Mus musculus: one gene and its partner. The protein of the gene in region 2 purifies or fractionates together with the protein of the main gene of each other region. This does not show direct contact. Links are inferred from orthologs where the notes say so. Each region holds a gene or a part of one and is shown on either strand. Other genes may lie near its edges.

Region 1 (4,431 bases), on a different chromosome or scaffold from region 2:
CGGGGTTTACAAGGCTGGGTGGGGTTTGTAGGGGCTAAGCCAGGTCTTTAGGGTCAGGGCGGGGCCTACAGTAACGCATGGATCTGTGGAGACCTGGGGGAGTACCAACCCTGCCTGGCCCTGCTTCTCGCCGTGGTAGAACCGAGACAACTACATCCGCTCCTGCAAGCTGCTGCCCGACGGGCAGAGCCTGATTGTAGGTGGCGAGGCCAGTACCCTGTCCATTTGGGACCTGGCAGCACCCACACCACGGATCAAAGCAGAGCTGACTTCGTCTGCCCCGGCCTGCTATGCTCTGGCCGTCAGTCCGGACGCCAAGGTCTGCTTCTCCTGCTGCAGCGACGGTAACATCGTGGTCTGGGACCTGCAGAACCAGGCCATGGTCAGGTGTGTGGGGCGGCCCCGGGGGTGGTGAGTGCACAGGTGACTGCAGTCTTGGACGTCTGCTCTCGCCCTGTAGACAGTTCCAGGGCCACACGGACGGGGCCAGCTGCATCGACATATCAGACTACGGGACCCGGCTGTGGACTGGGGGCCTGGACAACACTGTGCGCTGCTGGGACCTGCGCGAGGGCCGCCAGCTTCAGCAGCATGACTTCAGTTCCCAGGTGCGCTCACAATCCTCGGCCTCCCCGAGGGTGTCCCTACCCGGCCTGAAACCGGATAGGACACGGGGACTGAGGAGACAGCTTGGTGGGTAAAGTATTTGCCTTGATGGCAGGAGTTCAAATCTCTAGAATCCACATAAAAAGCCAGACAGACATAAAAAACCTGCCTATAACCCTGGGCATGCCGAGAGCTGGAGGGTCAGAATAGTCAGTGGGAGACGGACTGCCTTACATACGCCTTTAAAAATAAGATTTACTTATTTTACTTATATGAGTACACTGTAGCTGTCTTCAGACACACCAGAAGAGGGCATCGGATCCCATTATAGATGGTTGTGAGCCACCATGTGGTTGCTGGGAATTGAATTCAGGACCTTTCTTCAGCCCAGGACATGTCTTTAATTCCAGCAATGGGAGGCAGAGCAGGTGGATCTCTGTGAGTCCCAGGGTGGTCAGAGCTGCATAGTGAGACAGTCTCAACCCACCCCCAAATACAAATACAAATAAAAAACCACTGCTAGACTAAGAGTGACTGCAGCTTCTACCCCTGATCCTGACTCCCCATCAGTCAGAAGCAGGACACAGTCAAGGCTCAGCCCTGGACCTTGAGCCACCTGTAGAGCCAGCTCCCTCTGCCCAGAATCTCAAGGTGCTGTGTTCCTCTGATGAATGCTAAGGTGTGACACCTGTCACTGGCCACCTTCTTGTCCCCATTTGGGGCACCCCTGGGCCTTCTTCCAGCATCATGTGTGACCCCAGGGTCTCAGCACTCTCTCTCTTGACCTAGATTTTCTCATTGGGCCACTGTCCCAATCAGGACTGGTTGGCTGTGGGGATGGAGAGCAGCCACGTGGAGGTCCTGCATGTGCGCAAGCCTGAGAAGTACCAGCTCCGCCTCCATGAGAGCTGCGTGCTGTCACTCAAGTTCGCTTCCTGTGGTACAAGCCTGGGAGACCCCTTGGCACAGCAGAGGGAGGGTGGATGGATGGGGGTGAAGCCTTAAATTAGATAACGAATTACCCAGGCCTGCCCACCCAGCTGCTTATTCAGGTCAAAGCCAGTTTAGATAAATGCACAGACACATTTAAAAAAAAAAAGATGGACCAGGCGAGGTGACTTGCATGCCTTTAATTCCAGTACTCGGGAGGCAGAGACAGGTAGATCTGAGTTCAAGGCTAGCCTGGCCTGTAGAGCCAGTTCAGGACAGCCAGGTCCACACAGAAAAACTGTCTCAAAAAAAAAAAAAGACAGCTATCAAGGACACTCCATGTTGCCTGGCAGCTCTCAGCTTTTTGATACTGCATAGTAGGCGGCTTCAGGAAGGAGTGAATTTCTAAGGTTTCCTACCCTGGTGGTCACTCCCATCCTCCCCTCTGCCCCCTCCCCTTCCCATCTCAGGACGCTGGTTTGTGAGCACAGGCAAGGACAACCTGCTCAATGCCTGGAGGACACCCTATGGGGCCAGCATTTTTCAGGTACCTGGTCTCCCCCAAATGGAGGCCAGCTCGACATTTCCTGTCCTAGACACTTCCTGTTACAGAGTCCCACACTTTGGGTCCCTCTGTGTACCACAGTGGATTTATTATAAGTACACTGTAGCTGTCTTCAGACACACCAGAAGAGGGAATCAGATCTCATTACAGATTGTAAGCCACCATGTGGTTGCTGGAATTTGAACTCAGGACCTCTGGAAAAGCAGTCAGTGATTTTAACCGCTGAGCCATCTCACTAGCCCTAGGTGGCAATTTCTAATAAGTCTCTTGAACCTTCAATGGATGTGCTATAGTGGTCTTTCACATTTCCTGTCCTTCCTAACCATCAAAGACCCCAGGAGTCTCCAATCCAGAGCAGTACCATTATCAACCCTTCACATGTCAGGGATACCCCTGTCCCTCCAGGACACGGTGACACAGATCTGTAATCTTAGCACTTGGAAGGATGGGGCAGAAGTATGGTTGGTTTGAGAGAGAATGAGGGAAGAGGAGGGAGGTACTTTGCTGTGAAGCCATCTGAAGTCGAGCTGTGATGAGTTAGGTACCATCTCTTAAGTCACCAGTCAGGCTAGCTCAGTCCCCAGCTACAAGGCCCTGGCAACAGTCACATCTACCAGCCTTTGTTGTCCTCCAAGCCCCATGCTTCTGGTCTGTAAACTTGGTGGTGGTGACCATGTGGCCACCCCTCACCTCCCCTTTCTCTGTCCCAGTCCAAAGAATCATCTTCTGTACTGAGCTGCGACATCTCCAGGAATAATAAGTACATCGTGACAGGCTCAGGGGACAAGAAGGCCACTGTGTATGAGGTGGTGTACTGAGCCATCTGCTGCCTTTTCAGGTCACCTGCCCTGGATGGCTGGCCACTCGGGACACGGGCCCCTCTGCTCATACCTGGCTTGCTCCCTCCTGGCTGGGTGGGGCTGGGGCACTGGGGAAATATAACACATTTATCAACTTGCTTTCTTTCTGTGTGTGTGTGAAGCGTACAGGTGAGGGACCCGACTGGGTATCAGCCTTCATTTCTCTTTGCCCCAATTTTCAGAGTGTGGATCTCACTAATGAGCCTCACAGACAGGTCAACATGCCCCAGGAATCCTCCTGTCTCTACCTACAGAGCTGGATCAGGGATTTACACTCACTCCTTATCCTGCCTGGTGTGGGCTTTACCAACTGAACCATCTTCCTGGCTCTCTTTAAAACAAAAACTGGGTGGGGCTAGTTTCTTAGTGTAGCACTGGCTGTCCTGAAACTATGTAAACCAGGCTGGTCTGGAACTCAGAAATCCGCCTGCCTCTGTCTCCTGAGTGCTGGGATTAAAGGCAAACACTCAGAAGTTGGAGGGCTCAGAGCTACAAAGTTCTTCCAAAACCTGGGTAAAGGACAAATCTCTGCCATTTCAATTGTTTTATTACACGCAACTCGGGATCTGCACACCCCATGGAAGCCTCTAGAAGCACTGCAGACCCATCACACCCATTGCCATCCACCACTGTGCAGTTAGGGGAGGGGAGTTGAAGTTGTCAGTACTTGATGTGGTACACCGAGGCACAGTCCCTGGATCCTGTGATGATGAGCCTGCCGTTCTCAGTCATGTCGAAGCATCTGACAGGGCCAACCTCGGGGACCTGAGACAGCAGCTGAGTGAGCTCAGTTCCTCTCCACCCAGAGCTTCAGAAATGACCCCTGTGGGGATGATGCTGAGGGTCCCGCTGACAGAGCCCCCAGTGCCCCCTGCACATAAGTACCTGGAACAGTTTTGCTCCGGTGGGCATGCTGTGGACCGTGATGAAGTTGCCCATACCGACGCTCGCCCACCACTTGCCTAGGAGGAGGGGAAGGAAGACAGGGAGGTTACAGCAGACCCCACCCATTCACTAACATCCAGCAGCACCCAGGAGGCTGAGGCAGGAGGACTGAGAGAGTTTGAGATGAGAATGAGTCTAGGCTACATGAGACCTTGCCTCAAAGAACAAGGCAGAACAGCAAAAAGTTTTACTGTTTTGTCTTTTGTTATGTTTTGCCGTCTGAAGCCTTTTATAGCTCAGGATAGCCTTAAGCTCCCCAAGTAGCCAGAGATGACTCTGAACTCCTGATTATGATTATGTTAATAAAAGATGTTGGAGTGTGGACAATACCCAAGCCCTGACTGGGCACTGAGTAAATAGCAGGGTCCTCTGAGAGGCCAGTGGCCACAGTGTGCACCCATCCTCAGTGGACTGGTTTCCCAGACAGGGTTTCTTTGTGGAGTCCTGGCTGTCCTGGAACTCTGTACACCAGGGCTGGTCCTGAACTCAGATCCACCTGCCTCTGCCTCCCCAGTGCTGGAATTA
Region 2 (5,542 bases):
ATAGTACACGCAGTCAGACTCTCTCTCTGAGATAGTACACGCAGTCAGACTCTCTCTCTGAGATAGTACACGCAGTCAGACTCTCTCTGAGATAGTACACACAGTCAGACTCTCTCTCTGAGATAGTACACACAGTCAGACTCTAGCCGACGTTGACTTTGAACTTCGGATCCTTTTGCCCCCCCCCCCCATCTCCTGAGTGCTGACCGCATGCAGAAGCCACCACACTTTTATACAGGTTTATACAGCGTCGGCAATCAAAGCCTAGACAGGCACCTACACCCAAGCTTCAAAGTATTTTTAAAAAGCCACAAAATTCAATTCTTAGGAATTACTCTTAGACACTGTTCAATTTAAATTTTCAGCAATGGGGACAGAACCTGGGGCTTTGTGTTTGTTAGGCTCAAGAGCTGCATCACTGAGCTATCTCCCCAGGCCACATTTATAAATCAAAGACTACGTCCCCCTTTAAGTCAACACCACAGCTCTGTTATTCTGAAGGTCATTTTTATTTTTGTGTGTGTCTGTGTGTGGCTATGTGTGAATAGGTGCCTAGAGACTGGAAGGGGGTGGCGGGTCACTCTAAACTAGGATTCCATGCTCTGTGTGGACTGCCTGATGTGGGTGCTGGGAACTGATCAAGAGGAGTCTGCACTCAACTCCAGTCCTCCTCATTTCATTTACCATGAAAAATTCCTCCACAAATATTTGTGAAGGTAGATTTTTCTTAGCATATTCTTTAAGCTGTTAGAGAAATGTGAATTTTTCTCATTTTTTAAAAAACACTATTTACCCCCTCCTCCAATACTAAACCACAGGTTTAATGGAGCGAGAGATGGGCATCACAGCCCTCTTATCCTGCTCCAAGTATCTATTCCACACCCTCTTGGACAACAAAACTTCAGGGAAAAAAGGAAAATGCCAAAAGGTTATGTAAAATAAAGTATCAATATTTACCAGTTTATACTGCTGGAGAATTCACATTAGAATCAATCTATAGAATAATAAATCTCATCATCATCAGAGAAATACTCCTCAACCCACCCACCCACAGACAATTTAAGAGTTTGAGTAGCCAAAATGGAAAACCTAGAAAGGTCACTTATAAATCTTCACAATAAAGTGGAGGAAGAAACAGCCTTTCGTCCTCTAGATTGAATACAGTTTCACCTATGTCAGAGTCATGGGTTTTTGATGGTTTTGAAACAAAACTTACTTCTAGCTCTCTTAAAATAGTCGCTGCATCGTTTGTCACAAACAACTTCTCCAGGCGATTGATGACCATTTTATTCATTCCTTAAAAGTAGTTGCAAAGAAAAAAAAAAAGGTTCCATTATTATTCAAATATTCTGCAAACAACCCAGGAAAACTCCGGCAAGAAGCCGTACTGATGTTTAGCCCCAGAACACACCATCTGTTTAGATCAGCATCATAGCCCCATGGGCTTCCCTGACTAAACACCAACATGCTTAGCATGTAAGACGTGCTTAATAAACAGGAATTAACACTAAAATCAATATGCTTAGAAACACATTTGGTTTCTTCCGTAATCTCTTTGTGTGCATCTCTAATTCAACTGGTGGTTAAAGGGAAGGAAGAGCTTCCTGATGCCGTGCTGTTTTCTGCAGACTGCTGAGCCTTTCCACAATAGTACTGGCCACTAGTGAGGATGCTGGACTTCCCTAGGACCTAACAGGGTAACAGCATCGTTTCCAATTTCTCTTTTCCCAGAAAGCTGCATTCCTGACTGAAAGTGAGAGGCACATCAATGCCACCGACCATAAAACACGTGAGGCCCGCTCTCTACGCTAACAGTCACACCACACAGCCTGAACTTGGTCATTACCATTTGGTCCGTACGCTGTGCGAGTAGTCTGAGCAAGCTCCTTGCAGGCCTGTATATTTCTATACACAGCCTCTTCTAATCCCGAGAAATGCTGAAAAAGAAAATGTCTGCTTAGGCATGATAACCAAGTTAAGAGTTTTCTACCGCAGGATACCTCTGTTGAGTATGCTTCTAAGAAACAGCCAGGATCACACAGGCAGTCATCAGACAGCCTCAGTTTCCCCCACTGGGCCTGGCTCTCTTTCCTATCTGTAAACTAATGGGATAATCAATAGCTCCTACTTGGCAGATTATTACTCACCTAGCTAAATAACAACTATTCTTCCTTCTGCCTTTTCCAGGGATTGAACACAAGAAAGCAATCTACCATTAAACTACAATCCCAGCCTACTAGTACTAGCTTTTAACCTAAATTTGGGGGATGGGGGTACTTTAAAAAAACTTGTCTTCACTATAGCCTCCATCAGTACCGATTTACACAAAGTATCTCTGTGCTGAAATGCTAGCCTGTGACAGAAATCCTTTAAATGTATCATGTCCTCAGCCAGAGTGATGGAGGAAAAGATGGAAACTGGAAGCTGTTGCTACCCCTCAAAAGGTTAACAGTGTCATTTGCAGAACTTACTAACTTACATTAAGCCCTGACATCCATTCAGTATGCCAGTTATCACTACAAAGGGGACACCACCTCTCTGTACTGCTAAGAATCCGCTATTTCTACAACTTGTAAAAATATGAAAGACAAAACAAACGTTATCTGGCAGCTTGGGGAACTCAGGACAAATCGCTCCATAAGCAATGTGACCGCTTTAAAAAAAAAAAAAAAATCACTCCTGAAACTACGGCCTATTCGATCTGGGGTGGGGCTTCATTTATCCTGTAGGCTACGACATCGGACAGTCAGAGTGAAAAGACAGTTAACAGCCTTCGGCCCGGTCTCAACTCAGAAAAGGTAAAGGAAACAGAACGTCCAGAGGAGAGTTTTCAGTAGAGCAGTGGGGATCGGACGTGTCTGGAAGGAAGCAACCAAGGGCAGGCCCAGGAGTGACCATGCCGGACTCGTGTCATCTCCATCCTACAATCCCCGGCCCTCCAACCACCCGTTACCAATTCCGTCCAAGTTCATTAACGCATCGCCAGCTCGCGTTAAGGGCGGCGCCCGTGGGCTCCATGCCGCAGACAGGGGCGTGGGGAGCTGGGATGCAAACCCGAAGCCGCCGGGGGAATAACAGAAATGCCCACCAGTTCCAGCGAGCCGGCATCCAGAGCACGCTTCCCTTTCTAGAACCTTCTCCATCCCGATCGCGGCGCGGCCGCCCGCCCGCAGGCCTGTCGCGGTCGCCACAGGCGCAGACCCACCCTCCCACCGTACAGTCCCTCCACGCCACCTACTTTGGCTCCATCCTTGAGCATCTGGGCAAAGCCCGGGGCCTTGGGGACGTGAAGCGCCATGGCTCGGCCGCAGTCCACCGCTCACGCGCTCGCTCCGAGACGCCGAGGAAGCAAGGGGCGCCGCGCACTGCCTGCTGGGAATGGGCCTCGGCGCCGCCTCGCGTCCCCCTACTTCCGGTCGCCCCGCCCCTTCAACCTGCAGCGTCTCTGAAATATCGCGAGAACCAGAGGTTCCAGCAGACAGACCTGATCTGCCGATTCCCGATCAAAGCGGACGATCAGGCCGAACCCAGAGCGTGCATGCTCCCTTCGTGTCCCTTGTCCTAAGTTAATGAGTAAACTTTGGTTAGGACGTTTGGCTTGTGATATTTCGGTGGCGGACACCCAACGTCTTATCCTTCACTTAAACTTAATCCTGCAGACCCAGCACCGGGGCAGGTTAGCCTTTTCTTCTCCAAGCTCACCCGCCCTCGCCCCTATAAACTACCAATGGACATCCTCTGTGTTGGTCACTGGGAAGCACTGAAGGCTCGAAGGTGATCTTTGAAATAGCATGGAGGATTGCAACGCGTGGACTGCACGTGCGTAGCAGAGCTAAGCGGTTTGCTTAAGTGCAGTTATCTTTGTTATTGGTCAAATTTAAGAATGAATATTAATCTCCATTTTATGGAAGGGAAGTTGATAACCACAATTCAGTGGTACGCAGAGGTCACCAGGCCAATAGATATTACAGCGACGATTTCTACCCTAGATGGGCAGATTACAAAGTGGGAATAGTTAACCACTTTATCTATATCTATATATCTATATAGATATTCTCTACTCCCCCAGAATCTTTTTCACAAACATTTCTATGTAAATAGAATAACTTCATAGAGAAAGTAAAACACTCTTACAATAAAAAAATACAAAAAAATGGAAGCATCTCCTGCCCTTGCAGAAAAATATGAAACGCTTTGGTGAGTCGTTGGACATAGAGAAATTAAGATTTTCTTTACATTGGGACAGACTCATAATTGCAACCGTACTATCAACTGCAATTTTTTTTTCTATTAAACATTTTAAATATGTAACCATGGGACTGAAGGAGCTGAAGGGGTTTGGAGCCCCATGGAGGGAGCAACAGTGTCAACAGGCCAGTTCCCCTAGAGCTCCCAGGGACAGGACAACCAACCAAAGACTAAACATGGAGCAACCCATGGCACTGGCCACATATGTGGCAGAGGATGGCCTTGTTGTACATCAGTGGGAAGAGAGGCCCTCAGGCCTTAGGGTGTTCAATGCACCATTTGTAGGGAAATGCCAGGGTGGGAGGATGGGAGTGGGTGGGTGGGGGAGCACCCTCATGGAGGCAGGAGGAGTGGGGATGGGATAGGGGGTTTCCGAAGGGGAGACCTGAAAAGTGGAAAACATTTGAAATGTAAATAAAGAAAATATCCAAGAAAAAGAAAAGAAAAGAAAAAGGAAAAAAAAATGTAACCATGAAAATACTTTCTTGTCACCGAACACAAGGTAAGTGAGCCAATTATATTGGAAGACAGAGCAAACGTTCAGTGGTTCTCAAAGATTGGTTTTGACACCTCCGAGGCTCTCCAACGCCCTTTCAGGGCCCATGACTACGCAAGTGTTTTCATAGTAATACAGAGCTGTCTCCTCTTCCTGTGGGGAGCTGTGAAGGCCTGCTGGGTGTTCAGTATGTCACAGTATGAATGTGAAAAGCACAAGGAGCCACTTACACTCTTTGTCGTCCACTAAGCCACATATAAAATATTTGGGGAAAAAATTGAGAATATCAGTCCTCAAGAGAGACATTTTCAATAATGTTATGTTAGCCTTCAGTGTTCACTGCTATATTTTTATATTAATGTTAAATAGTTTGATTTATAATATTAACAATCAATGGTTACTACGATACCCATTAAAAACAATCATTGGGTGACTCTGTTTAAACTTCTATGTGGATTCTATGTCTGCAAAGTACATGACACCTGAGAGGTAAGACAGTCGAAGATTCCCTCATGGATTTGCTAGGAAAAACTAAAACCCGTTGTCTCAGCATCACTTATGGGTATAACTGACACAAAATAGTGAGAGGGGATTTAAAATTATACCTGATTTGTTAAAAGTAACTAAGAGGATCTAAATCTTGGCAAAAATTGATAACTAGATCCTGAAAAACTAAACGAGTTCAAGACAGTGGATAAATTTTCATCAAAAGTTTAAAGTAAAAGTCGACCTTGCACAAGTGGGAAATGGGAAGAATTAAAAGCAATTCCAATCAACTATGTGTTAATTCATCAAAGA

The links. The genes of interacting proteins can lie anywhere in the genome.
Region 1: the proteins of Cct8 (region 2) and Tle2 purify together in Homo sapiens (affinity purification with mass spectrometry; 3 studies listed by BioGRID and IntAct, with this or other methods). This does not show direct contact. The link is inferred for Mus musculus from reciprocal best matches to the Homo sapiens genes CCT8 and TLE2.

The regions. Positions count from the first base shown.
Region 1 is NC_000076.6:81,587,414-81,591,844, forward strand, and holds the end of Tle2 (transducin-like enhancer protein 2), read left to right. Parts: intron 1-139; coding exon 140-387; intron 388-460; coding exon 461-608; intron 609-1,395; coding exon 1,396-1,546; intron 1,547-2,006; coding exon 2,007-2,083; intron 2,084-2,811; coding exon 2,812-2,919; 3' UTR 2,920-2,939; coding exon of another isoform or gene 2,940-3,275; 3' UTR 3,276-3,432; downstream 3,433-4,431. Other genes in the region: Tle6 (transducin-like enhancer protein 6), read right to left, coding at 3,622-3,726, 3,847-3,923.
Region 2 is NC_000082.6:87,492,491-87,498,032, forward strand, and holds the start of Cct8 (T-complex protein 1 subunit theta), read right to left. Parts: upstream 3,380-5,542; 5' UTR 3,299-3,379; coding exon 3,239-3,298; intron 1,938-3,238; coding exon 1,847-1,937; intron 1,297-1,846; coding exon 1,217-1,296; intron 1-1,216. UniProt on the Homo sapiens protein: Component of the chaperonin-containing T-complex (TRiC), a molecular chaperone complex that assists the folding of actin, tubulin and other proteins upon ATP hydrolysis.